Linked DNA regions of Yarrowia lipolytica. Each later gene encodes a partner of the first gene's protein in a complex. Links are inferred from orthologs where the notes say so. Each region holds a gene or a part of one and is shown on either strand. Other genes may lie near its edges. The genes, in order: YALI1_B18207g, YALI1_E17583g, YALI1_A05491g and YALI1_C14516g.

Evidence for each region.
Region 2: YALI1_B18207g (region 1) and YALI1_E17583g share a complex: the UniProt entries of both Saccharomyces cerevisiae proteins name them as parts of the U4/U6-U5 tri-snRNP complex. The link is inferred for Yarrowia lipolytica from reciprocal best matches to the Saccharomyces cerevisiae genes PRP31 and DIB1.
Region 3: YALI1_B18207g (region 1) and YALI1_A05491g share a complex: the UniProt entries of both Saccharomyces cerevisiae proteins name them as parts of the U4/U6-U5 tri-snRNP complex. The link is inferred for Yarrowia lipolytica from reciprocal best matches to the Saccharomyces cerevisiae genes PRP31 and SMX3.
Region 4: YALI1_B18207g (region 1) and YALI1_C14516g share a complex: the UniProt entries of both Saccharomyces cerevisiae proteins name them as parts of the U4/U6-U5 tri-snRNP complex. The link is inferred for Yarrowia lipolytica from reciprocal best matches to the Saccharomyces cerevisiae genes PRP31 and SMX2.

The regions. Positions count from the first base shown.
Region 1 is NC_090771.1:1,816,512-1,824,663, reverse strand, and holds YALI1_B18207g (uncharacterized protein), read right to left. Parts: upstream 3,906-8,152; coding exon 2,337-3,905; downstream 1-2,336. Other genes in the region: YALI1_B18236g (uncharacterized protein), read right to left, coding at 1-1,020; YALI1_B18205g (uncharacterized protein), read left to right, coding at 4,114-4,380; YALI1_B18190g (uncharacterized protein), read right to left, coding at 4,771-5,565. UniProt on the Saccharomyces cerevisiae protein: Promotes the association of the U4/U6.U5 tri-snRNP particle with pre-spliceosomes to form the mature spliceosomal complex.
Region 2 is NC_090774.1:1,753,205-1,760,498, forward strand, and holds YALI1_E17583g (uncharacterized protein), read left to right. Parts: upstream 1-5,153; coding exon 5,154-5,585; downstream 5,586-7,294. Other genes in the region: YALI1_E17527g (uncharacterized protein), read left to right, coding at 1-1,943; YALI1_E17574g (uncharacterized protein), read right to left, coding at 2,202-4,172; YALI1_E17594g (mitochondrial 54S ribosomal protein bL31m), read right to left, coding at 5,823-6,245; YALI1_E17613g (uncharacterized protein), read right to left, coding at 6,448-7,294. UniProt on the Saccharomyces cerevisiae protein: Essential role in pre-mRNA splicing. Also essential for entry into mitosis (G2/M progression) as well as for chromosome segregation during mitosis.
Region 3 is NC_090770.1:546,813-554,615, forward strand, and holds YALI1_A05491g (uncharacterized protein), read right to left. Parts: upstream 3,074-7,803; coding exon 3,071-3,073; intron 2,383-3,070; coding exon 2,074-2,382; downstream 1-2,073. Other genes in the region: YALI1_A05473g (uncharacterized protein), read left to right, coding at 570-1,061; YALI1_A05527g (uncharacterized protein), read left to right, coding at 5,965-7,803. UniProt on the Saccharomyces cerevisiae protein: Plays a role in pre-mRNA splicing as a core component of the spliceosomal U1, U2, U4 and U5 small nuclear ribonucleoproteins (snRNPs), the building blocks of the spliceosome.
Region 4 is NC_090772.1:1,447,648-1,455,020, reverse strand, and holds YALI1_C14516g (uncharacterized protein), read right to left. Parts: upstream 3,378-7,373; coding exon 3,348-3,377; intron 3,295-3,347; coding exon 3,223-3,294; intron 2,727-3,222; coding exon 2,598-2,726; downstream 1-2,597. Other genes in the region: YALI1_C14543g (uncharacterized protein), read right to left, coding at 328-660; YALI1_C14500g (uncharacterized protein), read right to left, coding at 4,316-4,945; YALI1_C14498g (uncharacterized protein), read left to right, coding at 5,142-7,373. UniProt on the Saccharomyces cerevisiae protein: Plays a role in pre-mRNA splicing as a core component of the spliceosomal U1, U2, U4 and U5 small nuclear ribonucleoproteins (snRNPs), the building blocks of the spliceosome.

The DNA.
Region 1 (8,152 bases):
TTACCACTCGACACGTTCTTCGTCATTGTGGCTCGAGTTGAGGTCTTCCTCCTTCATGTTTGACAGCTTCTTCTTGTGCAGGTTTGCTTTCATGGGCACTCGTCCAAACATGAAGCCGGGGTGGAAGATGGCCAGTAGGTATGTTGCTAGCACCATCATCAGACCGTCGAGCACCAGCATATACACCTCGTTGATGACCAGCCGTCCGTGCCATCCTCCGGCTAGTTCGATGATTCGGTAGATGGAACGGGTGTAGATGAGAATAATAGCAATCGTCTGGCCTACAATGAAGATAGGTAACTTCTTGCCCTTCTTGAGCTCCTCGATATCAGGTCTATGAGCCTGACTATCAAGTACCTCTGGGTTTCTTCTGCCCGTGTAAACTCGGAAAAGGAATTCAAAGTAGAAGAGGAAGAAGATTGACATGACGAGCACCTGGAACGCGATACCGGCGACCATGATCCAAGTTCCCGAGTCCGAATTGCCTTGGGTCGCTGCCAGACCTCCTCCCACGGCCTGAATGATGATCGAGACCCAGTCTCCGACCACAAAGATGATTGTGTAGACGATAGGACCCAGTCTTGAGTAAGACTCTCCATAGACAACCACCAGCTTCGCCAGAATGCAGTAAACACCTGCCATGACAAAGGCCGGAGCGAGTGTCAGACACACGATTTGCATAATGTAATAGGACTCGTCTTCGACTGAGATCTCTCGTGACAAGAATCGACCTAGGAATCCCAGAAACTCGAGCACGCAACCACAAGACACACAGACTCCAAACCACCACTGGCGCCAGAAGGCGCCGAGAGCCAGGTGGGTCAACAGAATGAAGGCGAACAGCACGAGGCCGGCCAAGTTGGAGTCGTAATCGGGCATGAAACTGTACAATCCATAATGTGCATTGAGCCAGTCGTACCACTGGTCTTTAGTAAGACCCAGCTCTTGAGCCGAAGGAGTGCCCGCCGCAACTCCCTGAATTATGGTCGAAAGCACAAAAGTCGTCACCCAGGCTCGCATTTCGTTCAGAGACTACAAACTTCCAGACCCACGCCACAGCTATATATCTCTCGAGAGTTTGAGGAGGCAGAGTTAGACTCCAGCGCGATGTGCGAAGTTGCTCGTGGGCCCAAGATCGACGGAGTCCGAAATCTGAGGTATTGGTTGGGTTGGAGGGGTAGGGTGCTCACCACCTTGGTGAGATTTTGATTCTGAGTCAGTTGGTAATCTCTGTTTCCTCGCCTCTAAACTACACCACCCAGTTATCCCTCTGTTTACTCCACAAGGTGCGAGTGGCACGTTCAAAAAGCCAGTTATAAAAAGTCAGAAATACGAGGTGTGCGCTCGCACAAATTTAATTCGGATTTGGCAGCGTCCAACCTCATGTCTTTTCCAGTTTAAACCCGTTTCATTGGAGAGCTTTATTAAGAATGGAAAATACTGAGCAGTACACTGATCATTATGCGTGTGACGTCTTGGGGGTTAGTACAAGTCTTGACTTGGGACTTTGATTCACATTTTCGACTCTAAACACTCACTACAGTAGTAGTAGTAGCGCGCTATACTTTTGTAGACCCGCTGAACTGCTTATCTCCTTTCTCTCTCTCTCTCTCTCTCTCTCTCCACACCCTGTTCCCATCGGCAGCTTATTTGCCGCATTATGAACCAAGCATATACTGTATTTACTGTAAGCATAGGGCACGGAAGTAAAGAAGCTACACTGCCGTTGCCGGAGGAACCACCCATCAGAAAGTACATACTGTACAGTACATATGATAAATGAATGAAAATACGCGGAATTTTGAAAAGGAAAACACCACCCCCTCATAATACCTCGAACCTCTGTTTAGGCGGCATGTGTACCTTTTATGGCTTCCCTCACGACACACGGTCAGCTCCTTGACTTGAGAAATAGAGGGCCCTGAATGCAGCATATTATAGTTGGATGAGTCTAACGCACATTAGTTGAGAGTTGAATGGAGGGGGGCGTTGGTTGGATTTTGGGCACACAGGAATGAGAAGCAAGGAAAGAGAGAGCGAGAAGTGTTGCAGTAGTGAAATACTCGTATATTTCATCTCGTATTTTTTTATAAAATACGTTCTTTGTCGTACCGCTGCAATGCTGCCAATATGCTGATCTGTCTGCGTAGAGAAGCTGTTGTACCAGACGAGTATGCACGTATAGCATGTGTCGATAACGGCTGTAAGTACGAGTATGTATTCGTACGGTACAGTCATATATTCGAGTACGTGTATATGTGTCGCACATCATTAGTCGCGCGTACGCTATAGGTAGGGTCAATAAATTATCATTTATGTTACATGCTGAAGCAGTATCAGTTTCCATCACCCTCCTTCAACTTCTTGGTAGTGCCACGGTCCTTCTGCTCGTCAGCTTTTCGCTTAGGGCCTAGTTGCAATCCGCTGCCCCTCTCCAGCTGTGTGAACGTGCCTGAGGCAAAGAATTTGTTATCCTGGGTGGCCGTCTTGGGTCCCTTGGGTTTACTAAGCTCCATAGACTGCGCCGTAACAGACAAAGACGACTGAAGACCGTCGATCATAGGTTTGGGACGGTTCTTGAGCATCTCCAAACGCGATCGAGCCCCCTTGGACATTCTTGCACGGGTCTTGGAATCAGCTTCAACTCTTCGAGCTGATCCCAGGCCAGCAGCAGAATCCAACATTCCCAGACCCACGGTCTCTCCGTAAACGTCCACAGTCTTTTCGGCCTCTCCGAACGCCATTCGGTTGGCAGCAGCAGCCATTTCACTCTGCTTGAACTGCTCCTTGAACTTTCTGATCCGCTTTCCACCTCGCTTCTTTGAGGGTTTGTCGATAGGAACAGGTAGGGCCTTGACTCCCTTTATCTCCGGGGGCTCTGCTAGTTTCTGCAACTTTCCTTCAATCTCCTCTCGCATTTTAGATCCGAACGATCCATCTGTAGATGCTCTAGAGGCATCCAAACGGGCTGCAAGTACTAGCTTGGCTGACAACATTCGCATGGCCTGCTTTCTGATATCAGCAGGACTCTGTTGTACCACATCCGAGTAATACAAGTAACCCTGCTGTCTTTGTGCTTGTCCAAACCCCACCGCAGTCTCTCGCTTAGCTCCTAGAGAAGGTATGTTGCAAGAGGGGGTCTTTGCCAGACCGTTGAGACCACCCACAAATCCAAGAATCTGAGCTGCACAATGAGCACCAATCAGAATGGCCGTATTGGGTGCAACGAGGTTCAGTTTCGAGGAGACATAGTTAGTGATTTGGCGCTTAGCAGCGTCCAATGCTATCAGTAGCTTACAAGCTTCGTTTATAGTGGCCATCTCAACGTCCGAGAGTCGTCGTCCCCCTTGGTCCACAGTCATGGTAATAGTCATCATCACTGACTTGTGCACCACCTGTTTTAAGTGCGGGCTATCTGACTTTGCCACTGCTGCGGGATCGTTTCCAAGAATGGCCACTACCTGTGCATGCTGTAGTGGGTTGGCGATGAGTGATCTGAGCTCGGGGTACCGCTGGCTGTATCTAGTGGCGATGAAGTTGTGCAGCTCAGCTACTGCGTTGTCGATTTCCACCGAGTACTCGTTTGCTCCCACAATCACATGGTACTCTGGATTCTCTTCTAGATTTGATGTGAGTGCGAGAGTTGACTGAGTGGCACCACTTTCGTACAGAGAAATGCTTCTGAGTTGTGGCAGAAGTCTGGGGACCATTGCTGCCGAGTTGGTGGACCCCAGCAGGTCCAGGTTGATGTTATTGAGTGGAGTAGGCGACAGAGGTTCTGTGGTTTCGGTTGCAATGACTTCAGTTGGGATCTGGGAAGTCGCATCTTCCATCACCTCGTCCACCTCTTCATTTTCTTCGTCGCTGGAGCCAAAATCGGCCAGAATTTCGTCAGCCAGGCCCATTATGTCGTTGTGGGGGTGAGCTCAGCCTTTTGATGGTGATACAGTAATTGAGGGAGGATGCAATATTTAGAGTTATGATCTTTTCGAACACTTAGAGTTCCGATATGCAGTGGACTTCGAAGTGCAAAGACACCGTGAAACGCGTTATCACAACTACAAGTATTCCTGAACGACACTCAAGTTCCTCTGGAAGCCCTGTAAAAAAAACATGAGCAGAGTCAGCATGTTTCCTACGGAAGACAAACGGTCTTATTTCGAGCGACAACGGGACCAGTACATCAAAAACATCTCGGCCAGCATGGAAGACGTGCTCAACAACCTGAACGCGCTGAACCGTTCGTTGGAACACACTGTGGGCCTGTCTCAAAAGTCTGAAGAGCTCGCAGAAATGTGGAGCCACTTTTACAACACCGTGAATGAGGATCTGGTGAAGACGGAGGACGGAGACATCGAGGTAGACACTACCAAAGAGTAGTGTAATTTGGAGTTGCGAGTTACGAGTAAGGGCCTGATGGACTTGCAGACGATTATTTATAAATGTATTCTAATGAACTGATGAGTGCTTTGAGATGAGTAAATGGCCGGTTTTCAGATTTCGAGTTATGTGATCTAGGTCTATAGTACAAGTATCTACTTGTAGGATTAAAAATTCTACTCTACAGTTTGTACCTCCGTAGATGAACTGGGCCACTGGCACAGTATGCACAAGTAGAGCTACCACACAACTCCTACATTATATGTACTCGTACATATAATAATACGGCTGCTACCGTTCATTGCCGTTACACAGACGTCGCGCCCTCTTGTATCCTTCTCATCATAATGCATTACTATATCACCCCTTGTTAGCTGTGGTTGATGCTTTCTACAACACCAAGCACTGGTGTCGTTTCTTCTTCTTCTTCTTCTCGATCGGTTCCGAGGCTGGTCTGGATTGTAATTTTGGACGTGTGGCTGACGCTGCTGCTGCCGCTGCCCCTTTACTTTGTGATCGCACAGGTTTGGTTCTCTTTGATCTCCCTTTTTCCTTCAGCACCGCTCCCATGGCGACTGCAAACACCTCTCTAACGCCAGACATGTCCTTTGATGAGCACTCCATGTATTTGTACACTCCGAGTCTCTGTGCCATGGATTTGCCCTGCGTCGGCGTGATGTGGCTCAGTCCCTGAGCTTTGAGATAATGGGCGGATGTGGAATCGGCTCTGAGATCGGTTTTGAGACATACCAGCACCACTGGCGTGTCTGGACAGAAATGCGTCACCTCAGGGAACCACTTTTCGGCCACGTTTTCAAACGATGACGGCGAGTCCACGCTGTAGCACACCAGCAGCACATCCACGTCTGGGTACGAGAGTGGTCTGAGCCGGTCGTACTCCTCCTGTCCTGCTGTGTCCCATAACGCCAGCTCGATAATCTCTCCTTTGGGCCCCTTGAGCGTGGTTATGTAGTTCTCAAAGACCGTCGGTATATATCGCTCGGGAAAGACACCCTGCGAGTACGACACCAGCAGACATGTTTTTCCACAGCCTCCATCTCCTACCACCACCACCTTGATGTGGACGTCTGGTTGTGCGGATTCCGCCGTTTCGATGAACTCGAAGCTGCTCGGGTTGGCGGACTCGGATGTGCGGTAGTAGCTGAGTCGCTTGAGGGACGACATTTGCTGTTTTTGTGGCTCTTTAGACGGTCGAAAATAGTGTTGTTTGTTGGAGATGTGCGAATTACCTTTTGTTTGGAAGATCTGTCTTCAGGGGGCTTGTGGAGCTCGACACAAAGACAAAGCGCGTTAAAGGTGAAGAAGTGGCGATTCAAACGTGTTTTTTTGAAAGAGCCGTACACGCGGTGAAAAAATACACGCTCATACACCTTACAAGTACGGCCCGACTCCACTATATATCCGTTGGGGCCTGTCTGTACATGGACCTGCATAAGACGGATCCCACCATATGCCGAACTCTGTGGTCTAAGTTGAACAGGGCTGAGTACAGTGTGTATATCCTGGTAGCACTGAGCGACAGCGGGGCCGAAAGAGGACCAAAAAGCGCCCACATCTGGGAAACATGTGAACTGGAAGCCCTTTGCTTTGTCCATTGCATATTGTACAGTGCTTCTGCTTGTGCTCTCACTCGCACTGCATATCTGTTGGTCGCCTGTCGTTCATAATTAAGGGCTGGTCGTAGCTCGTCGTACCTTAGACTAAGCATATCTGGGCGGGATGAAACGGGCTGACTTATTAATTAACTTGGGATGGGAAAATCTGGCACGTTTTAGCCCCACCACCCTGACCAGCCTGGTCTACAAGCACTGTACATGCTGTAAAATTGAATTATGCGATGTATCACACTGTTCGATAGGGGCTAGGGGTATCGTGGTTTCGAGTCTGTGCTACTCGTACTGTAGCCGTATCGCCAGTAAGTACGACTGTACAGTATCAGAGTTAGTGCAGTGTGTCCCTCGGCCATGTCATTGCACTGTATTCACGGTCCTTGTTGCTACAGTATCAACACACGCCTACCGTACATACGTCGCTTATTAAATAGTTACTGTACTTGTAATTTCGGTAACTTGTACTCGTACTGGTACATACTGGGGGTGATCGCGTGACAGGCTGTGAGGAACTGCAGGGCTGTTGATGTGACAAATTCGGAGCGGTGAATATGGACGCCTGTGGTTGATTAATATGTCAAAAGAGACACTTCAACCCTGGCAGCACCCTAACTGTAGAACAGTATGTACTGTACTTTTGGTAATTTGTAATTGGTAATTTGTATTACTGTGATCATTTATAAAGTACTATTTGTGTGGCCCAACTGACGTCAACAATAGGGGGAAGGGGTGTACTTGGGTGTGATCCGCCCTGCACGTGGATTCGATATGATACTCCGATCCTTACTTGTACAAGTGCTTGTAAAACTACAAATATGTGCTATTTGTTATCTTGAACTTGGCAAGAGGGGTGTGATTTCTACAATACAAGCTGACGATTATAAATTCTGAAAAGTGAAAACCGAGAATGGTAGGCTCCAGCTCCAACATTGGTATGTACTTGACAGAATCGGTTTGTAATGTCCTGCGCGATGCTCGCGATGGCACTTATGGAGTGTTCGTTCTATGCCAACAGTATATACGGCTCTCGCAGACAAGTGGAAATAACGAGCAACATTCACAGCTGGCCATACCTTTTACTGTTCGTCTCATATTCAATGTACAAGTTGATGTTACGTTACTGGCTGGCCTGGATCTTGCATGTAACCTCGAGGTGAAGGTATCGTAGTAGAGCCCTTTCCGGACGATAATCTTGACAAACGGACTTGACAGAAATGTGCTCGAGCCCAAGGATTTTCATCATCGGACTCAATCAGTTTGCTATAGCCCCGCAATTGACATTGGATCCTTGGAAACACAAACTCTCTAAATCGGTCACCCTCCCGTTCAACCGGCCGGTCAAGAGCAATAAGGGTCATGCGCGGATAGTCAGCTCTATGAAAGCTTTTATAGTCGTTTGTTGTACTCGTACTGTAGACTGTGCTCCCCTGGCGTCCAATTGCTACAGTACTTCCGATGTTACAATAATGATTGCTTAATATAGAGGTGCAACTATCGGTAAGAAGATCCCAGGAATGTATGGAATGTATGGAACAGTAATGGAACATTGATAGCCGGAAAATCACGTTTTCCCGCACTTTTTAAATTCCGACGTTTTTCACTCCTTGTGGTCAACTTTTACTCTTTCCTGGTCACTCAATTCCACTCTGACTTTAGATCACTGGTTCTGCACTAATCGAGCGTTTTAGATCACAGCAACCGAGCTCTCGAGTCAATACACTCCAGTATGTACTTGTAGCTTTTGCAGTGCTATACCAGGCTTTGTAGGTAAGCATTGAGAGATTCAAACACCCTTACGGCAGCTTCGCCACGGCACTGTTTCAAATTCCCCGTTCGGGTCATCTCCTGTTTCAGTATTAAAACACGACATCGCTATAAAAAAAAATTAATAAAAAAGACAGGCCTTGGTCTTTGTGCATGCTCATTTTTAATACATGCACTCTTGCGGTTACAACGATAACGTTCGGCAAGAGCTTAGAGCTGAGTTACAGTAGAACCTTCAGATTAGCAATGGGTAGAGTTTTGTTTGAGACACGTGTGCTACGAAGCTTCGGGTGTTGTTGCGGTGATACCGAGGCTCATCCCGTAGTGTTTCTTTCTTGATTGTTGGTCCCACGTCTGTTGTATTACAGACGAGGTAA
Region 2 (7,294 bases), on another chromosome or scaffold:
AGGGAGAGCAACAGGAGATCAACACTTCGGTTGTTGCTCTTGAGGACGGACGGTCCAGCACCAAGGTCCGGATCATTTCTAAGAACTCCGACAAGTCCATCACCATGGGTCTGTGCCAGCGACTGATCAAGTTCCAGCCCTTCGCCTCCAAGTTTTTGGTTTCGTGTATCATCAGCGAAAAGGTGCACCTGACCCTGATCGATCTGGAGTCGAAGAAGACTGTTACCACCAGCGTTATCGGCCAGGAGGGCCAGGTTCATGTCTCTGGTGCTGATATCTTTGTGCTAGGAGATGACAAGCTGTATAAGATTGATCTTTCCGAGTTTGCGCCTGTTCTCATCGGTGACATTCCCCATGGAAAAGACGCTGTCATTTCACTCCAGGAACAGCTTGTGGTTCAGGACTCTGCTGCAATTGAGACGTTCGACTACTCTCTCAACAAGAAGGCTTCTGTGGCCCAGATTCCCTTTTCTCTGACATACACTGGGTCTGACAACTTCCTTGTTGCCTCTCCTACGTCTCTCAACGTCCTCACTCCCGAGGGTAAGTCTCTGTGGTCTTCTCCTGTCCTCTCGTCTATCATCACTGCTGCTTTCATTGACAAGGATGAGGTCAAGGCCGATGACGCTTTTAACATCAACACCGACCCCGTGACCGCCTTTATCAACCGAATCCAGTCCCACGTTGCCCAGCTGCCTCATCTTATCAAGTGGTTCTCTTCTCTAACCCTTGACGTTCTGGAGGTGTCTACTGACAACGACCACTTCTTCGAGAAGCTGCTGATTGTGGCTACTCCCTCTGGTCTCACTGCCATTGATACCACCACCAACACCAACGCCTGGGAGGTGGATATTCCAGGTGTCACCAAACTCACCTCTGTCGCTAACGGAGTTGTTGCTACCACACCCAATGGAGACATTGCTTACGATGCTCACGGAGTGGAGTTCAGTGCTCCCGAGTCTGACTCGGAGTACACCGTCAAGACCACCGGAAACATTATTCAGGGATACAGGAGCGGCCAGCCCACCTGGACCTGGAGTCCTGCAGCTGGTTCCATCGCCAAGACCGTGTCCAAGAATCTGGACGACGAGTCTGTGTCTATTGGCACTATCCTCGGAGACCGAACCGTGCTATACAAGTACCTGTACCCCAACGTAATTGCTGCTGCTTCCGTTGATGAAACTGCCGGAACTCTGCTTATCACTGTGCTCGACTCTGTTACAGGTAACACCCTGTACCAGTCTATTCACAACGACGTCAAGTCCTTCAGCGACATTGTTTTCGGCGAGTACTGGATCACCTACTCTTATGTTTCTGGTGGTGCCCTTCCCGGTGCCAAGCTCGTCACCTGCGACTTCTACGAGTCCACTACCCCCAATGAGCGAAAGTCCACTGACGAGATGTCTGCCTTTGACATGTTTGTTCCCGAGACCATCTGCCAGGCCTTTGGCATCGAGTCTGAAGTTACTGCTCTATCTGTCTCCAAGACCACCTTTGGTATCACATCCCGAGATGTCATTGTCGCTCTTGCTGACGGACGAGTTGCCTCAATCCCTCGACAGGCCATCAACCCTAGACGACCCGTTGGACGAGCTGCTACTGCTGCTGAGATGGAGGAAGGTCTGGGAACTTACGATCCCTTCCTTGCCATCTTCCCCCAGATGCTCATTTCACACTCCTATTCTCTAAAGGGCGACATCATTGTCACCAGCGGAGCTACTTTGGAGTCGACTTCTCTGGTGGCTGTTCTATCCACCAACGGAGACATTTTCTTCACCCGAATCTTCCCTTCCACCGCCTTCGATCTCATGAAGCCCAATTTCAGCAAGAAGAACCTCGTGTACACTGTGCTGGCCCTGGGTATTGCCGTGCGATACATGGGCCCCGTGGTCGCCAAAAGACTCAACAACCAAAAGTGGGGTGTTGGTCTCATTGAGAAATAAGAAATAACGATAATACATGTTTGACTAGATGCCCTTACTACAAAGTAGAACGTGCCTTACTTCAGTATATGTAAACCGGCTGTCCATAGAGAAACCGCCACAGATCCAAAGTGTGACATGTTCTGATTTGGCTGCCTTGGTCTATTCTCTCACCCATACATCTCACCTCAAGTGGTCTGAGGGTGACTACTTGGTGCTGTTTAATTCCAATATTGAACTCATTACTCTGTACATATTTTTATTGAACGTTTACTGGATTTACTCCTTGTCGGTGGAATCGAAAGGAGTGAGGTCCTTGGTGGCCTCCTCCCAGGCAACATCGTCGGCGGTCATGACGTTGATGGCAGCAATGACGGCGTCGATGGAGCCTCGAACCTGTCGAGTGGAGTCTCGCTCTCGGAGGGTGACAGAGTTGTCCTTGACAGTGTCGAAGTCGACGGTAATACCGAAGGGAGTTCCCATTTCGTCGTTTCGGGCGTATCGCTTACCGATAGAGGCAGAAGAGTCGTCGACCTTGGCGGAGATTCGGGCCTGTCGCAGCTTCTTGGAGACCTCCTGAGTGAAGGGGGCCAGCTCCTTCTGGGAAGAGAGAGGAACAACAAGAACCTTAGTGGGGGCAATTCGAGGAGGGAAAGAAAGCACACCCTTGGCTCCGGAGGCGTCCTCGGGTCGAGTCCAGAAGCAGTGCTCGATCAGAGAGTAAAGGATTCGTCCGATACCGAAAGAAGGCTCGATGACGTTGGGAGTGTAGTCTCGAACGTGGGTGGTGATGGTCTTTTTCTCAATCTTGATGTGAGACTTGTCAAGCTCGGTGCCGGCAACCTCGACACCCTCAATCTCGGGCAGGACGATCTTGCCGGCCTCAAGAGCCTTGGCAAGATCCTCAAGCTCGCACTGGGTTCGGGACTCGAACCACTCCTCGACGGGCTTGGCGGCCTTCTTGAGCAGAGGACCAAACTTCTTCTTGTCGTATTCGCAGACAAACTTGTCCTCGACGAGAGGAGCGTCGAGCTTCTGCTGAACCTGCAGCTTGACCTTGGTTCGGGCCTCGTGCACAGACAGATCGTAGGCAGATCGGTCAGCACAGCCAACACACTCGATCCAGCCGTAGGAGGTGTGCAGCTCGGCATCCCAGCAGTCGGTGGCGTAGTGGGCCATCTCGTTGGACATGTGCTGTCGGAATCGGAGTCGGTCGGGGTTGACACCAATCTTGATCAGGAACAGGTAGATTCGAGCAAGGAAGTATCCGAGGGTCTTGTTGTCAACGAGACCGGTCTCAACGGCCTGGCCGATGGTCATCTCCTGGATGTCGGTCTTACCAGCGGACTGGACATCCTTGGCGAGGAATCGCAGCTTGACGTCCTTGACCTCGTCGAATCGGTGGTGGTCCTTGTCCAGAGGGTCGACAAAGTGCTCAATCTCGGCCATGGTGAACTCTCGGACTCGCAGCAGACCGGATCGGGGGGAAATCTCGTTTCGGAAAGACTTACCAATGGAGGCAGAGGCGAAGGGCATCTTGGTGTTGTTGCAGTCCAGCAGCTTGTTGAAGTTGAGGAACTGGCCCTGGGCGGTCTCGGGTCGCAGGAAGCCCTTGAGCTTACCGGAGGGGCCGATGGCAGTCTCGAACATGAGGTTGAACTCCATGGGCTTCTCAAGGGGACCGCCGGTGACGGGGTTGACGATCTTATACTTGTCCATGATCTCACCAAGCTCGGGGCCGGAGAAACCGTCAATCTTGGCAAGAATGGTCTCGTACTCCTCCTTAACATTGTCATCGAGCTTGATGGCCACAATCTCCTTGACCTTCTTCTTTCGCTTCTTGGCGGACTCGTCCTCAACAACGTCCTCCTTGATGCCTCGGGCCTCCTTGTCTCCCTTGAGTCGGGCCTCGAGCACCTCCTCGACCAGATGGTCGGCTCGGAAAATCTCGCCGGAGGCCAGATCTCGGCACATCCAGTCGGCAAACTTGTCCACGTGGCCAGAGGTCTTCAGAACCTCGTGGGGAGTCAGCATGGTGGTGTCGACCTCGAGCATGTCGTCCTCGAGCACAAAGTGATCTCGCCACGTGTCGATGATTCGGGTCTGGAGAGCACATCCAGGCGGGCCGTAGTCGTAAAGACCGGAAACACCGTCGTAGATCTCAAAGGCTGGGGCGTAGAAGAACCGTCGCTTGAGGACGGCATCAAGAGTCTCTCGGTTGAGCTCCTGGTCGGCGGGTCGGGTGGACATTCTAGCGGAAAAATTCGAACTGACTGAGAATTGACGTATAAAATGGGGGGTAGGAATCAGCTTCCTACGTAGCAGATTTAGTGAAGTCACAATGGCAGTAGTCGTAAGAGTGGACTGGAGTTAAATTTTCCAAACTTTGCACTCTTGTAAAAAAAAACAACGGGGTTTGGGAGTAACAAGAAAAGGGTGCGTGAAAGTGACCCCAGCGCAGTATGCATTTGCTGTCAATGAGAGATAGATGATAACGAGTCCCTCGTACAAGTCGTAGAGCAGGCGTGACTACACCGGAATTGTGTTTCCCGAGAGCTTGAATCCCATCACACATCTATAACAAAGAAAAGACGTCACTCTTTGTGACTCACCATGTCTCATCCATCACCCGTACTCGTACTTACATGACCCCCTCCGACAGGCCCTTCCTAGAGCCAGAATTAGTTCCTGCCTCAGATCATTGAAGGTTCTAGTGTGTCAATAAACACCAAAAGGGACCGACTGGACGCAGACATAGACAGACTTTGAACTACTTGTTGGACAATGCCATTCCACAGGGCTCGTTTTTTCTCGCCCGGTATCCCCTATGGGTTCATATTCGGCGATATTCCGGGCCTGTCCAATTGAGTTAGTCAGGGTTCCAGAGCATTTGAACAATGCAATGTAGAGTTTGAGGTTTGTACCCATATACGAAAATGTACTGGAAAATCAAATAACTTGGATATATGGTGGGTAGAGTGCCAGATATATAGCTATTGGGGGAATTTACCACATTTATGTTTTCCCGCGTCTGATCAAGTTATATTGTAAATCGAGTTGATGCACTTTTACTTGTATTCCTATTTAATTTGTATTCTATTTTATTTATATTATATTATATTATATTATATTCTATTTTATTTTATTTTTGTATTTTCCCACAAACCTCCCACTCACGTGACCTAAATATATCCCTACCTCTGCACCAACTCAGCACATTACACACACATCATGGGATCTATCTTGCTGCCTCACCTGAACACGGGCTGGCACGTGGACCAGGCCATCTTATCGGAGGAGGATCGACTCGTTGTCATTCGATTCGGCCGAGACCACGACCTCGAATGCATGAAAATGGACGACCATCTGTACTCGGTGGCGGAAAAGATCAGAAACTTCGCGGCCGTCTACGTGTGCGACATTGACCAGGTGCCCGAGTTCAACCAGATGTACGAGCTGTATGACCCAGTATCGGTCATGTTTTTCTACCGAAACAAACACATCATGTGCGACTTTGGCACCGGAGATAACAACAAGTTGAACTGGGTATTGGAGGACAAGCAGGAGCTCATTGACATCATCGAAACAGTCTATCGTGGAGCAAGTAAAGGTAAGGGTCTGGTGGTCAGTCCCAAGGACTATAGTACCAAACACAAGTTTTAGAGAAAGGTCTACTTGTCCACGACGGGATAACTCTGCATCATAGAAAGATTAGTAATTTATATGTAATATAGCCATAACTACGACGTGAACGGGAGTTCATAGCGTGCACCATGTGTTTGAGGAATGTATGCCATGTCTTTACAATCCCCTACGTACTCAGATCATCCAATAATATGCTGGTTACTATGTACTGTTTTTGCGCTACCAACGCCTTCTCCGTGTCTCCTTCTACGTCGCCTATTTCTTCTTCTTCAGGTCGGACTTCTTCTTCTGGACCTGAACTCCAGACTTGGTCTCGACGAAGTCCTGACCCAGCAAATCGGCAAAGTCGTCGTCGACCTCGCCGAAACCAAACTTCTCGTTGAACTTGGACATCTGCTTGCCCTCCTCTCCAGAGTCGGTCTTGAGCTCGGGCTTGTTGGGGTTCCAGAGATGCACGTTTCGCTGATCATTAATGGGCTTCAGCTGCTCCACGGGGGCCACGGTTCGTCGCTTGTAGGTGGAGCCGTCGGACAGCTGGACGGTGCACTCAAACTCGTGGAAAACGGGAGCGATGGTCTGTCCGAAAGCGAGTCGCTTTTGTCGCTTGGGCGCTCGCAGAATCGAGGCGTTTCTGGCGTTCTTGATTGTCGTCAGGGGGACGGTAGCTCGCTTGAACATGTTTGTGACTGTGAAGTGATGTACCGTGATCCGAAAATTCACTAACACAGTTTGGATGTTGCAGGGTTAGGTTTTTTTCAGACGAGGTAAAAATCAGCTATACAGGGGGTCGTGAGTTCGACTCTTTGGTATGAGCATAACAAGAGTGCTTCTTAAAAATACATTAAATACCGTAAAATACATACAAGTTGTACAAATAGTACTACCATTCCTTGTCCTCGTCCTTGCCCTCGCCCTTGCCCTCGCCATTGCCCTCGCCCTTGCCCTCGTCCTTGCCCGTATCCTTATCTTTATCCTTATCGTCAATTCGCTGCTGAGAAATACCCGACAGGTCTCGCAGGCTCTTGACGTTGTTAAGATGAAGACTGAACATGTTGAGATCAGGGTCCTCCACAGGGGGCTCCGAAGAGGATTCGGTAATAACAGCCGCCTCTGTAGTCTCGGGCTGCATCTCGGGGTCCACAACCTCCACAACGTCCTCTTCGTCGTCCTCAGCAACCTGATTCTCTTCAACATCACCTTCAGGTCGCTGCTCTTCCTCGGCGTCAAAGATGGCCTGCACGGTTTCGTTGGAGTTCTCCCTAAGAATAGTTCCTCGGACCTTGGCTCGGAGAGCCTTTCGAATCTTGCTGATGTCATTGTACTCGAACCAGCCGTCCAGAACGTCGTACTTGGCTCGAACAGGGGCACTGTGGATTTTCTCGTACAAGAGAGGGTCAGTAATGTCGCACAGCTGCAGAGTTTGCGACTCGGGAGGATGAATTCCGTCAAAGACATACGGCAGGGGAAGTGCCTTTTGAGCAGCAGGCTGAACGGGAGGGGCAAGACCGGCCAAGTCATCCTCCACCTTCTCAGTCTTTTCGTCTTGGTTGTCGCTGATTCGAAAAGCTTCTGTCTGGTAGAACCGCATGCTGGGGTCAGTTCTGGGGTCCTTTCCATATACCACATAGGCTCCTCTCCAGGGTCCAGATCGGAAATAGTAAGCCACATAGGGCAATGCGAATCTGAGAATGTGTTTGAGCTCGGGGTTGTTAACGTAATGACGCAGT
Region 3 (7,803 bases), on another chromosome or scaffold:
ATCAGTTGATTCGTTTAACAGAATCTAGTGATTATATGATGACTTTTTTGAATGTTTTCGGAAAATCAGAAGAAATCATATCAAGTCACAGAGAAGAAATCAGATCGAGTCACAAAAACACAATCACTGAGTCAAGTATGTACATACGAGTAGATATCTGTGTTTCATCAATGTAGTTTTCGAATCGAAAATATAACATTCAAAGTAGATGTTGATTCAAGTATCGTAAAGTACGTACATACTGTGTATCGGTAGTTGCCTTCACTTCTGGACAAGGGTACAAGTACAATGTGTTATGTAGTGCGGCATTCGTACTCGCACTCGTATCGTACATTGTTCCTGTATTCCTACTGGATACATCATATAACCCGTTTTAATACCGCTTATTTTGTCTCGTGCCAAGGACATCTTTTTTCCCCCATTATTCCCCAATTCCCACAACAATCCTGAAAAAACAAATAAACTCGCCAAAAACAGGCCAATTTAAATTACGTGACGCAACACGATACAGCTGATGCGCCAACATCTCTGTTCGTCCATCAACCACACCTCACACCGTCACTTCCACAATGCCGCCCAAAGGACACAAAAAAACCGCCGACGGCGACTTCCGACCCGTCAACTCGGCCGGTAACACGATACAGGCCAAGCAAAAGTACTCGATCGACGATCTCCTGTACCCCAAATCAACCATCAAGAATCTGGCCAAGGAGACACTGCCAGATGACGCCATCATTTCCAAGGACGCGTTGACGGCCATCCAGCGAGCTGCCACGCTGTTTGTGTCGTACATGGCGAGCCACGGAAACGCGTCGGCCGAGGCTGGAGGCCGAAAGAAGATAACGCCCCAGGACGTTTTCGTGGCCCTTAAGGACGTTGATCTGGCTCAGTTTGTGCCCAGTGTGACCCAGAGTGTCAACGAGTTCGAACAGGAAGTTGCACAAAGGAAGAAGGACAAGGTTGTACGCGCCCAGGACGACCAGGACCATATTTCCAGCTCAGAGTCGGAAACCGAGGCGACAGAGGAAGAGGGCAACAAAAGAATTAGAACTGATGAGTAGAAGACGAGAAGGACAACGTGGCAACAGGACATTTAGATGCCATACTGAAAGATGCGAACATACTCAACACGCAGCTACGTGTGGTCAAGGTCACAAGCAGAAAGCCCTGATTGCAGTCAAAACACACTCTCCACCTGGCGCAAAAGCACAACCGACACATACGTTATCGCACGATAATAACCACTTACATACATGCCGCAACGGCATCAATACATGCACATTTATTTGATACACAGCAAGCCTACTGCCGTGCACTTGGGGCGGGGGTGTCTTAGATGCCCCGTTGTCATTGCCAGAACCCACGATGTAAAAGATCTGGACAGTTGCCCATATTGAATAATGAGCATGTCTTGATTCGCGTCGTACAGCACGACCAGACTATATGTTCTGGTCTCTTTCCGGTGACTCGAGCCTGTTTGTCATCCCAAGAGCGAGCTGACGAGTTCCACCAAATAAGGCAGCTTGTACTTAATGGTAATGGTCAGATCGACAGCTCAAGGCCTTTTGGTAATCTTGGAGCTCGACGGGTTGTCGTCCTCCGACTTGATGGCGATATCGGAAGGACCGTTCTCGTTGTCCTTGACATTGTAGCCGTGTTCATCGTGTACTCGAAAAGAAGATAGATAAAGGTTGATGGGGATCTTCAGGGAGGATAGATGTATTCGATGCCGAGAATAGTTCGTCCGTGATGGCCTTCCTGTTGTTTGAGCCGATTGTCATAAGTGTTTGAATACACGAGCAGGATCGAGATGAATGACTGAACACACTTGCCGCAGTGGAAGATGAAGATGCCTCCCAAAGAGTGTGACTTGATGGCACTTGTACTGTACTGGTTGCTGGTATCATGTAGATATAGTAAGAACCATGGGCTTCTCACCTTCTCCTGAGTTTTTTGTAAACCAGCAGAAATCAGCTCACAATATATAGCAAACATATGTCGGCGAACAGACTACGGAGATACTCTACAACCATTGCGTTACATTCTATTATACAATACATCCCGTTCTTTCTTTTAAGCCATCTCAACGTCCTCCTTGACCTCTTCGGTCACCTCTGCGGTTGCGCTCTTGGTCTCCTCCTTTACCCCGTTCTCTCCGATCCACAGTACGTTGTTGCATCTGATGAAAACGTCGCCTAGCTCGCCCTTGTTCTCCTGGTCGACATACTCCACTGCATCCTCCAGCTGCAGGTTCATATAACTGTCGACGGAAACAAGTGTGCCCTGGTACTCGGTCTTGCCCCACTTGAGGTGGACAATGACGGACTTGCCTGTGAGTTCTTGCAGAAACGGTTTGGGGTTGGTGGGATTGAAAGGGGTTGACTGGGTTAGTAATGATAGTAGAGGAGATGATGTGCGTGGCGACGACAGATGATTGTGGGCGAATCAGTTGTGAAGCGGAGGTTAACTAAGCATGGTTGAGGAGAGCTAGACCACACATGTCACTAGTGTATATGCGGTTCACCTCGTTCGAGCGAGACAAGAGCTTGCCAAGGAGTCAGCTGCAAATTGGACCATTTCCAGTGCCTCACTTTCCCCTCATTCACGGTTGTAGAAAAACGACATTCCATTGCTGTCACACCACACAAACACAAACAACATAAAAATTGCATGACTTTCACGGCGGACTCTTGATATGGGGTTTCTCGGAAAAGGCTTTGCGTAGCAGACAATATCAAGCCTAGACGCAGCAGTAGTGTCACCGTGTCGTCCTTCCATTCTTGTAGATGTTGAGTTGAATCCAACTACAAAACGAGAGATCAGAGACACAAGACCACAAATACTTGCAGTCCATACCTCGGTATCCATAACCACTCCAATACCCCGCTAGGTACGCCACTGGTCCAGCTCTTCAAACAGCATTCCTGTCTTGACAGCATCAGACCTCGTCAGTATATGGTCCCCTCTCACACCCCGTCCCTCTCACACCCCGTCATTGTGTCTGCCTGACTACCAATAACGCATATCCATCATCTGTAGCATTTCCACTGCTCAAAAAATTCATACTCACCATCCTTGTTGTGGTAAAATGCTTGTTGTAGAAGTGGTGATGATGGCCGTGATCTGAGGGTCTACACACTGATACTGCAAAATAAGGTTTCCTGAATTTTGAAGAAAAAAAATAATTGCGAATTCTGTGGATCGAACACAGGACCTCCAGATTTCAAGACTGAGAATTACTTCAGTCTGGCGCTCTCCCAACTGAGCTAAATCCGCCGCGATTTCGATATTTTTGGATCAATCTCAGCAGTCAGCATTGTCGAATTATGTAATCATGATTGCTGATATATTTACCGGTCAATAGATGAAACAAGAAGAATACGTGAACAACCATACACGAATGCCATGCGCTCTTCTGGACAACTGAATCCAGATCCGATTTGCAGGTATAACAGATGTACTCAAGTAGCTGATGTATTTCCCCAGCATGAAAAAAAAAAAGAAAAAAGGATAACATAAAGTCCTCTGTTCCCTGTATTCTAATATATCTTTCTGCACGGTTACGACAGTGTCCATACCTTCAATATGGCCACCATTTTTTTATATTCTACTTTTTTTATTTTTTATTCTAATGATTCCTTTCTACTGCGGCTGAGTCATCAGTCTGCTTAGTCAGAGGTCTGGTTATAAAACGGGAATATCTCCAGGTCCCTTGGCCCAGTTGGTTAAGGCGTCGTGCTAATAAGAAATAGCCACTTTGCAACGCGAAGATCAGCAGTTCGATCCTGCTAGGGACCATTCCTTTTTGCTCCTTTCAGAACCGCAGATGGTCAGTCGCAAGCGCTTCCTGTCCTGATGTTGCTATCTCATTCTCTTCTAAATGGTTGTGAGAAGAGAATGTTATCGGATCGGACCCGCTGTGTTTGCAAGCAATGTACAAATTTCCATGTGGGGTTTCATTGAAGTCTTGATAAAACCCGAGAAAGAAGACAATGGCCCATTCCAAAGCAGTCAATGGCGTCTATTTTGCTACTTGGAGAACCGATAGCCCCCACACGCATTTCACGGTTGGCTCCCCCGCGTTTCTCGTCGACGACGGAAAGGTCCGAATCTAGTGCTAGCGTCCAGGGTATGAGCATGGCTCCCATGTCCGGTTGGATATATGGAATTGCTGCTTACTAAAAGGAAGTGTGTTTATGAGCGATGAATGGCCTTTCGGGACCGGAACTTCCAGATATTGCTGGTAACTGCTAATCGACACAGCTCTCGTTCACGCTAATGAGTGGTGTAATCTCGTGAGTTAGGTAGTAAATAGCAGTACAGTACATCTTGAAGTTGTCGAACTGGTGAAATTTGTACCTTTTGGCGACCAGTTGCCACACTCTCCTAGGTCGAACGAGAAAGCTCGGGTCGATAGATGGGTTGTAGTTCGATCTCTTAAAACCCGTTTCGTGAATTACTCTGAATTCTCCAACTATCGGATCAGAGCCTGGGCCTATTTGAGCCACTTCATGTGTATCGTATGTGTGTACATTGTAGTCATCAATTCATCCGCAAGGATCGCGGTTGTTCTCCAAGTACGGGTGCGGACTGGACTCGTATCACACCGAAGGACAGAGTGGTGGGTATGTTTAACAGTTCAGTGCAACGTGAAGGACTTTCAAGGACGACTCTACTAATTTACAACTCTACAACTCAAGAACTCAAGAACTACACAACGACAATTCACCGACAATTCAACGACCCGGCTCATAAAAAACAATCCAACCACTTGATAACAACTCAATCAATCCAAGGGACATATAAAAGTGCACAGTACATACAGTACTGTACATAGTGTACGCAATTTAGCCGTATCCGCAGTAGATTATGGTAAGTACCGTAGTCGTAGTACGTATATACTACCAAAACACCTCACACCAACATCTGACGATTGCATCACTCACCAGACTCGAGCACTCCTAAAACTGACCTCATGCACAACCATTTTCTGCCCATACCTTCAACTTTCGGCGTAGTCCGACCTCGTTCAGACCGCCGTGAGTGTCAGAGTCACGTCTGAGCAGCACACTAATTAGATCAACGCGTCGCGCCAAACTTTAACGGAGCCGCATGTGGTGAACCCCGCGCGGAAATCACATAAAAAGATAAATAATAAAAAACACCTGATCTGAAGATATTGTCATGGCCAAGAACACGGATTCTGCGACTCCCCCGACAATGTGACTTCCACAACAGCGAAGACAGACTTGGGTCGGGGTGAGGTGACGCGCGAATATAATGATCTCGCCAAATGTGATGTTCAATGCCATGTCAACCCGATTATCAGATCAAAGTGCTTCTATCTGGCCAACCTTGCAATGACAATGGTCAAACCCCCATCCATGTCAGAAACGGGCATTTTCGCGGGCCGAGTCGCTCCGTGGGAAACATGACGTGTCTGGGTCGATTGGAGTATCGCAAATACATACAAACGCGGCTTGAGTCCACTCGACGATGACGTAGTGGACGCATATTACGCCGCATTGTTAAACTCAACATCGTGAAAAGTAAAGTAAAAGAAAATGAAAAATAACAAATTACAATGGGAAAAAATAACATCCACCGACACGCGAAAGGAAAAAATGAGACTTGATGAGATTCAATGAGGTCCGATGAGGCTGGATTGATGCGTGGAATCACCAACCAATCGTTGTATTGCTAATGGCCGTGTCGACTCTCTGAACACACCTTGTCTCGCTGTATGCATCCCTTGTGCCATTTCAGCCGCACAGATCAGAAGTGTATGACACGCCGACGATTCCATGTCACAAACTCCACAATCAGTCATACCTACTTATATCAAATAAATAGCATCATTACCGTAATTATACGTGTGTACGGTGAGTCAGAGTCAGTCTGAGGCAGCCGAGCGTCCAGTCCAGAAAATAGTCTACTTTCCCTTATTTTTCGCACTTTTTTATTATGCTCATCTCACCACAAACTCTACCCCAAACCATATATTTATCGCCGTTTCTCTCCACACATAACTGCACTCGCACTTTGAGACATCCCCCCAATCACCCTCTGCACTACGCCATGTCTCTAATACACTCCAATGACTCGTCTTCCGTCTGGCTGGAGACGGTGTCGAGAACGGTCAAATGCATTGTGTCCGTCTACTTTCGCCACCACGAGGCGGTGGAGTTTGATCACCCGCTCAAGTCCGAAGCCAGTGGGTTTGTAGTCGACAAGGAGCAGGGCATCATCGTCACCAACCGCCACGTGATTGGGGCCGGCGTCTTTTCCGGCAAAATCAAGTTCCACAACTTCGAGGAGTGCAAGGTCGACGTGCTCTACTGCGACCCCATCCACGACTTTGGTTTTCTCAAATTCAACCCCAGCGACATCAAACATGTCGCCATTGGAGAAATCAGCCTGCGACCCGATCTCGCCAGGATCGGCACAGAAATTCGAATTCTCGGAAACGACAGCGGACAGCAGCTGTCCATTCTGTCTGGCTTCATTTCCCGAGTCCAGCGAAACACACCCCACTATGGAGACCACACCTACAACGACTTCAACACCTTTTACATCCAGGCAGCAGCCAACGCCAAGGGCGGCTCTTCAGGCTCCCCTGTCATCAACATTGATGGCCACGCTGTCGGGCTCCAAGCTGGAGGAATGACCTACTCCACCACCGACTACTTTCTGCCTTTACAGCGAGTCAAGAGAGCTCTCGATATCGTGCGTCAGGGAGGTCTGGTCACCAGAGGATGTCTGCAAACCATCTGGGAGCACACATCATTCAACATTTGCTCACATTATGGCCTGACAGAAGACCTCGAGGGCCGAATTCGAAAGAAGTATCCTGATAATGTCGGCATGCTGGTTGCCAAGCATGTGGTCAAGGACGGCAAGAGCGACAAGAAGATTCAGGTTGGCGATATTCTTGTGTCTGTGGACGGAGAAGACATCATCGACTTCGCTGTGTTGGACAGTATTCTCGACGAGTCTGTGGGCAAGTCTCATTCCATTGAAGTGTTCCGGGACTCGTCTCTTCTCAAGTTTGATGTGGAAGTGGCAGATCTGCATGCTCTCTCTTGCACTGAGTTTGTCAAGTTCGGAGGCATGACTTTCCATAACATGACTTATCAGCTTGTCCGATCTACCAACGAGCCCATCGATGGAGTTATTGTCGCTTGTGGAGGCCCCACTGATGTCAACTGTCGGTCCAAGCTGTACAAAATCAACGGCAAGAAGATTTCCAATCTTACTGAACTGAAGGAGTTCTTCAAAAACGCTGTGCATGGTAAGTCCTACGCGTTTGAGTTCCGAATGATCAAGACCACCACGACCAACAACCAGTCGGTGCGGTTCGATCTGCATTTCTACCCCGATTTCGTCTGGGCCCGAAAGACTGGCAGTGTGTGGACTATGGAGAAGCTCATTGTTAACGGTATCAAGAACACAACTATTCTTCCGTCAGTTATCAAGGGTACGAGCGTTTCTCAGATCGAAGGAGTTCCCACCGAGGTGGAAGGGTCTGCTGCTGCTTCTGAGACCGTTCTCTCTTCCGAGGCAGCTGTCAAGGAGCCTGAGACTAAAATTCCCACAGTTTTACTCTCCAGTATTTCGGATATTACCGCTTTGTCCTTCGCTAACATTCTGCAGTCGTTTGTGACCGTCACAGTGTCACGGCCGGTCAACTGTGACTCTGTGGAGGCTGTTGAGAGCGGACATCACTCTGATGAAGAGTACCAGAAGACGGGGTACATCATCGACAAGGAGCTAGGCATCATTCTCACCACCAATGTCATTTTC
Region 4 (7,373 bases), on another chromosome or scaffold:
AAGTTCTCGCTTATGTGGGGTGGGGGTTATTGTTGAAGGTAATGCCTGGTGGGGTAATACCTGGCTAATTACTCACATAATGATGAAAAGTCACCATATAGTGATGAGAGGAATCAGATGGGTCGTAAACAAGATGTCCATTCTGCAGATAGTTTTATCCACTGATCTAGAATCTCTTTCTGGTGAAGGAGCAAGCACACACCAGAGGGGTGTGTGCTACTATGGAACGTGGTGTCCCTAGAAGTGGGTTATAAGTTGTTATCAACTATATCTCATCAATAATACTTATGATCTTGAATATCCCTCTAGGCTGGTTCGTTAAAAGTGTCAACTACATCCAGTCTTTGCATTCATTCCAATCTTTAGGAGAGTAGGATTGAGAGTGGTCCAGACAAGTGGGTTTGTAAGAAAATCAGCGAGTTGGTTGCCAGCCCCCACAAATGACACAGTAATCTCGCTATTATTCACAGCTTCTTTGATAAAGTGATATCGTCGCTTGATGAGCTTGGTTCGTGGATAGAACTGGGGATAGTTAGAAATATGCATCGCTGCTTGGTTGTCAACTAGGATCCCAACAGCTTTAGGTTCCATGGGAATACCGAAGTCTTGATAGACCTCAGTTAGCCACATAGCAGTCTTGGTACCCTCAGATAGAGCCATGCACTCGGCTTCAGCAGTGGACAGTGCAATCGATTTTTTTTCTTCTCTATCACCCACATATTGATTCAAGTCCTTAAGTTTTGTTTCGACGCAAGATTCCGAACTTCTCACGTCTTCGGACTTTCGGATCGGTGTGTTATGTTGTGCACTGTTTAAGGACAGATCTACGACGACTGGCGGTTAGACTGTCTTGTATTCGGTGTTGACAGGTGTTGGGGACTCAATAAGACGTATCCAGAGCGGTTCAATTGGGTCGTTAATGACACAAATCCTCAAAGATTCCCAACGGGGGATTCTCATCTCCAGTGTCTGCTAGGGGCTCTTGGCCAAGTATTTCCCCACTGGGAGCGGTTTTGTCTCCTAAGGCTTATTGACTCTTGAAGGAACCCTTTACTGAAACGAGCAGATCAGTATGTTGCCTATCTGGCTGTTGGGGGATCTCTCTAGTCGAGACCTACTCAGTTGAGGATGAGTTGAGAGAAAGTAACAGAAACAAAGTCCTGTGTTTTATTGTCGGTTTCTCTCTGTTTTACAATGTTCTACAGCGTTTTCCGATGTCCATATGCTCATGTCAGAGACTGGTGGGGCGGTTATTTGAGCCGCTGCAAAACGGAGTAAAACATCGTCGACGGATTGTCTAGCGTTGAATCGACCGGGTGTTTCGTCGGCGACACTGGTGGGGGATCATCTATGGTGACTCGATGACCTTGCCTGAAGACATGAACCCTTAACATAAGATGGCCATTGGTCGAGACGCAGACAGAATCTGGGGCAAGTTATCAATCTTCTACCAGCTCTGGACAGAACCCCAACTCTCAGAAGACCAAATGACAGTAGACCCTGTTCTGGTATCCTAGTAAGTTCGTCTCTACAGACTACAGCCCGGTCGATACGGCACGCCTACCGTGACCAAATACTTCTACATATCTAGGGACTGGGTACTTGGAAAGATGCTGAATAATTTTTGATGGACTCTCTTCCTAACTTGTTACACTCGACTAAAACCTCCAGAGAGTCAGGTTCATAATGATCAGCATGGCTTCCACCTAACAACCAGTACGTTTCCAGTCCACAGGATCCACCAGATCGGAATCGATGTCAACAGAGAGATAAAGCTCAGTAGGCGGACTTGGAAACTCACGTGATATATCACATTACATGTTCTGCTCTCGCTGAGCCCTCACAGCCCCATTCACCAACATTACCACCATCTCGAAACCAGCTGGACCATTTGGAACAGATTGTGGGATTTTCTCATCACGAGACTTTGAGGGAAGATTGTTTGTCATTGTCATGCTTCGAATCTTCCTCTTCTCTCTTTCACCCTTTCATTTGTCGTCCTGGTCATCACGTGCTCGCCTAGAGCTGCAACATGTGACCGCTTTGAATTTTATCACGTGCTCTCATGGATTGGCCAGCCTCCCCTCTTTAGTTCTTAGGCGATCTCCTACTTCGGCGCTGCTGAGATTGCTGTTGGTTCCGCCAAAATTGCTTGAGGGTCTCACTGACATTCAAAGTGGGATTTCTGTTGCTACAGCTGTTTCTAATCCCGAGTGGACTTGGGCTATATGGAGCCGACGGTGACTTCCATCGATTCCCAGCACCGGTGCGCCAAGGATACCAAGAAGATCCTCAAGGTCTTTCTTTCTCAGGCAAGCAGGAATACCGACTCGAATGTACCAGTGGAGCAGACTCGGTCCCGAGTGTTCAACCGGCGGCCAATCAGAAATGAACTGGAGCTATCAAGGAACCCTTTTTCCAGATCTGTTGCCCTGAACCGAACCGGGCCAGTCGTCTTAGCTTTCTTCTGGTACTACTTACGTTTCTCTCTCAAGTTCCAGCGGGGTTACTTCTGACTGCGCTAGTGTCCCTCAGCTCTAGAGAATCTCCTTCACATCGCTAATACTGAATAATTTATTATACAAGGTAGACGGGGTCTACTGGATTCGTTCAAGGGCCTCCAGCATGACCACAGAGTTGCCTCGAATCACAGCCATGCCGGCCTGTACCTTGTCTCCATTGGCCTTTTCCTCCACAGATTCCTCCAGAACAATGTTTAGGAATGCCTGAGTTAGTACGTAGCGGTAGTGGGAGCATCATAGATGAATGAAGTCGAAAATCGGCTGACAGACCAATAATGCGCGGAATCCGTTGTGTCTAGATTCGTTGAAGACAGTCATTAAAGGCCCGGGCTGTTCATTGAGACAGATGATGTTCAGAAACAACTCAGACAGAGCAGGATTTTGTTGACCAGCCAGACATGTGAGAAGAATTGACCGAGTAGGAAACGAGCTGAAATGACATGTGTCGGCATTCGCGGAGGTCCAGTTGTCTCCAGCTAACTCATATCCAGTTTGTTGACAGTAGTCCAACCACCAGGTATATATCTCTGTGGTAGAGCTCTGGTTGAGTCGATTCGTTCTACCTGTCAGTCTCTAGACGTAGAGACACATCTCAGATCTCAATCCAGCGCTAGTCAAAACAGCTCGACTCTGTCACTACTCCATCTGACTATCCATCAGTACCTCGGTCATCATCGTACTCTCCTTCCTCAATACTCACATCATATCCTCGCAAAACACCAATGATCTTACGCTCGCCGTTGAGATGGACAATGAGACGCTTGTCCATGTACTGTGTTAGTCACGTGACCGAAAATAATCCCGCTGGCTAGCTGCCGTACTCACGTTTTTCAGCTCCGGAACGCTGGTTCCCATTCTTGTGTAATGTGGTGGTGCTGGTGAGATGAGATGAGATGGAGCCGTCACGTGAAGTTTTCTGCAGTCTAGAGTTTGTTAGTCAGCAGAGTGTTGGTGGGAGAGAGAAGGGTAAGGGAGTCACGTGATATATATGGATTTTGTAGTGGTTTGACGAGCAATGCTGTAGTTTTGTTCTCTTGTTTGGTTTCGTTGAGTGTTTTTATTGATTTTAATTAGTGTGTGATTTTTTATAATTGTTTTAGTTTCGATAAAATTCACTGCTAGAACAATAAAAAATAAAAAATAGTTGGAGTTTCGATGTTTCTAAATTTTTAATTTGAAATATGATAAGTCCGGAAAGATAGGAGATCAGAAATGGAGGAAAAATAACAGGGGAAATCAACTCCTTCTATTTGGGATTCATCAGCAAAAGTACTTAATAATCCCCCTTTTTTGTGCTCTTAACCTCACTTCTCACGGTCCCTCCGATGTCGTCGCGTCCTCCCTCCAATCATGAATGTGGTGAGCCAACACGTGGGTGGACAACTGCATTTGATATGTACGATTGTGCGAGGTGATTTGACCAAGAAGAGTGGTGGACCGGAATTTGGGGTCACGTGATTGAGTGGGGCTCGGAGTGGAGGGTTGTATTTAAATGTGCCAATATCAGTTTTATTGTCTTGTTCTTGTATTCATCTCAGCTCTTCACTCTGGATTTCTGAAGCTGTAAAAATCACTTTTGTTTCTTGTTTGAGGATGCAGTTTGAACAGAGTTTCGGTTGGTTTTTCGATACGATTTGGGAGGTGCCGCGATCGAAGGATGTTTGGGTGACTCTCTGGGGGGGGGGGGTTGTCCGGTGACCGGGAGTCGCCCGTTTTCGAGTGTGTCATGGTCATCTTGGATCTCGTCTCGCCTTTCTCTCGGCGACGTTATAAGTGTCTGTTATGACTGGGTCCTATTCCTGCCCGTGATACTTTCTGTCAGATACGAAAACTATATTGGCATCTTGCGGCAGTGGCGGGGAGCTGTTGAAGGTCGTCGAATAGGGCCTTTGAGGACAGATGTCGGCATTCGGAAAACGGCGAAACACAGCTGCGGGCCTTTGGAGTCGTTGTGTCAAAATTAGGCGCTCAAAACGTCTCTTCATCGGCGCTTTTCCGCTAGTGCCAAATCGGCCTTTTGTCGACACTAACACAAACTTTATGCACCGCCAACCACTAAACTTGGGGGACACTGTCGACGACAATTCCTCTTCATCATCAGAACCGTATTGAAAGTGAGTATGACGTTGGGGGGTTAGTGACACAGACGGAGTGCACAGGGGCGAGGTGTTGATGACGGAGTGCACAGGGGCGAGGTGTTGATGACAGAGAGACATGGCAACGGTAGCAAAACACAGAAACATGGCGGCCATGGTGTCGACAGCTGACGCCAGTGGTTTGTGTCGGAGCTGTTGATGCCAGTGCCTCGTATCTCGACTGTGGTCTCCTCGTACAACCATTTCCTGAATCCAGGTATGTCTCATGGAACTACAGTGTCCTTGCGGTACAGTGTTCCATGTGGTAGTGGGGGTGACTGCGTACATGTATGCGACTCCCAAGAAAACTCGATGTCCGACCACATCTCACATCTTCCCCGACGCTGTTCATATACCCTTGCTGTGATCCTGGTCCCTGCATCTGTGTCCACCAGAACTATCCACTTTAGTTGCTGGTTTGACATGTCGTTATTATTGTTCAACTCGTCTGTGACTAGCCAATCATGTCCTCGGGGTGCCGAGGATGCTCTACTCCTTGAGTCTCGTCCAACCGAGCTTCGGTCGGCTAGAAACCCTCAAGCAAAGAACCCCGCTAACCCAGATGCTCTTCGGCGTTCGCCTTCAAAACGAAATCTACGAGCCGTGGAAGGACCACTACATCAACTACGACTCGCTCAAGCGACTTCTCCGGGAGAATGTTGTGCCCAACGACAAGGAGGAGTGGTCTGAGTCCGACGAGACCCGCTTCGTCCAGGCGCTCGACTCCGATCTCGAAAAGGTGTACTCGTTCCAGACCAACATGTACAACAAGCTGTCCGACGCCATTGGCGAGATTGAGAAGCAGATTGTCGAGGTCAAGGAGATTGATCTTGTGAACCTGGAGCACACCATCGAGGACATTCTTGAGAGCGCCCAGCAGCTCGAGCACTTCTCCCGAATCAACTTCACCGGCTTCACCAAGATTGTCAAGAAGCACGACCGACTACACTCCAAGTACTCGGTTAAGCCTCTGCTGCAGGTGCGACTCAAGGCCCTGCCCTTCCACAGCGAAGACTACTCGCCGCTTATCAACCGGCTTTCTGCTGTCTACTCGTTCCTTCGAGAACAGGCTCCCCAGAGCCAGTCGGCGTCCATCAACGCCAAGTTGTCGTCATACACCAACGACTCGGATCTCAACTACACCTCGTACAAGTTCTGGGTCCATTCCGACAATCTGATGGAGGTCAAGACCCGAATTCTGCGTCACCTTCCCATTCTGGTCTACAACAACCAGAACGACTCGCAGGACTCTGTTGATCCCACCCTGACGTCGCTCTACTTTGACAACTCCGACTTTGAGCTGTACGAGGGTAAGCTACAAAAGAATGACACCTCTCCCTCTCTGCGGCTCAAGTGGGCCGGCAAGACTTCCGACGAGGACTCTCAGATCTACATTGAGAAGCGAACCGTCGACCACTCCATCGCAGGCGGCGATGAGCGACTCCCCATCAAGGAAAAGTACATTGCTGGCTTCATCAACGGAACCTACCACATGGAGAAGACTGTCCAGAAGATGAAATCTTCGCACGTGCCCGATTATCAAGTCGAGGGCTACGAAAAGTCTGTGGAGAACATCCAGGACTTTATCCGGGAAAACTCTCTGCAGCCCGTGTGCCGAGCTCAGTACACTCGAACGGCCTTCCAGATCCCTGGTGACAACCGAGTGCGAGTCATTATGGACAATGACATTCTCTTCATCAAAGAGGACGCCTTTGACAAGGACCGACCTATCCGAGACCCCAACAACTGGCATCGAACCGACATCGACGCCGTGTCGGACCCAAAGAAGGTGCTGCGGAAGGGCGAGTACTCCAAGTTCCCCTACGCCGTTCTGGAGTTCCGAGTCCAGAACCGACCTGGTGTTGACACCGCTGACACTGGCAACTCGATCATCACCTCGTCGTCTGTGTACCGAAAGCACGGCAAGTGGATCGACGAACTGACGTCGTCGCATCTGGTCAAGGAGGTGCCCAAATTTTCCAAGTTCATCCAGGGTATTGCCTCTCTGTACGGTGAGGATGACAAGCTCAACTTCCTGCCTCTGTGGCTGTCTGTCCTCGAGGAGGATGATATCCGAATTGATCCTAAGCAGGCGTTTGAGCAGGAGACTAAGAAACTCAAGGAGCGGGCCAAGACTGCCGCTGTGCGTGCTCGAGCCGCCTCTGTGTCTTCTCCCCGAAAGGGTGCTACCACTCCTGCTGGTCCTTCTTTTTCTACCAAGAAGGTGACCATCATGGAGGACGACTCCGACTCTGACGACGACGAGGGGCGACCCAAGAACCGAAAGTCGCTCAAGCACAAGTACTCGATCCCGTTCCTGGGAACTTTTGGTCCCAAGCTGGACGATGCGCTTTCCGAGGACGAGGAAGTTGTTCTTCCTCCCGGCGTTGTCAAGCCCGACGTTCTCATCCGAAACACCGGTCCTGTCAAGGTCGAGACCAAGGTGTGGCTTGCTAACGAGCGAACCTTTAACAAGTGGCTCCATATCACCACTCTGCTGTCCGCTCTGACTTTCACGTTGTACTCTTCCGTGCAGGCTGCCGTCGACAAGTCTGTTGCCACCTACGTTGCCTACACTTTGTTTGCGCTGACTCTGTTTTCCGGAATCTGGGGATGGTCCACCTACATGAGCCGGCTGAACTATATTAAGCAGCGAAGCGAGAAGCATCTGGACAATCCCATTGGTCCGTTGATTATTGCCGTGGCTCTGCTGCTG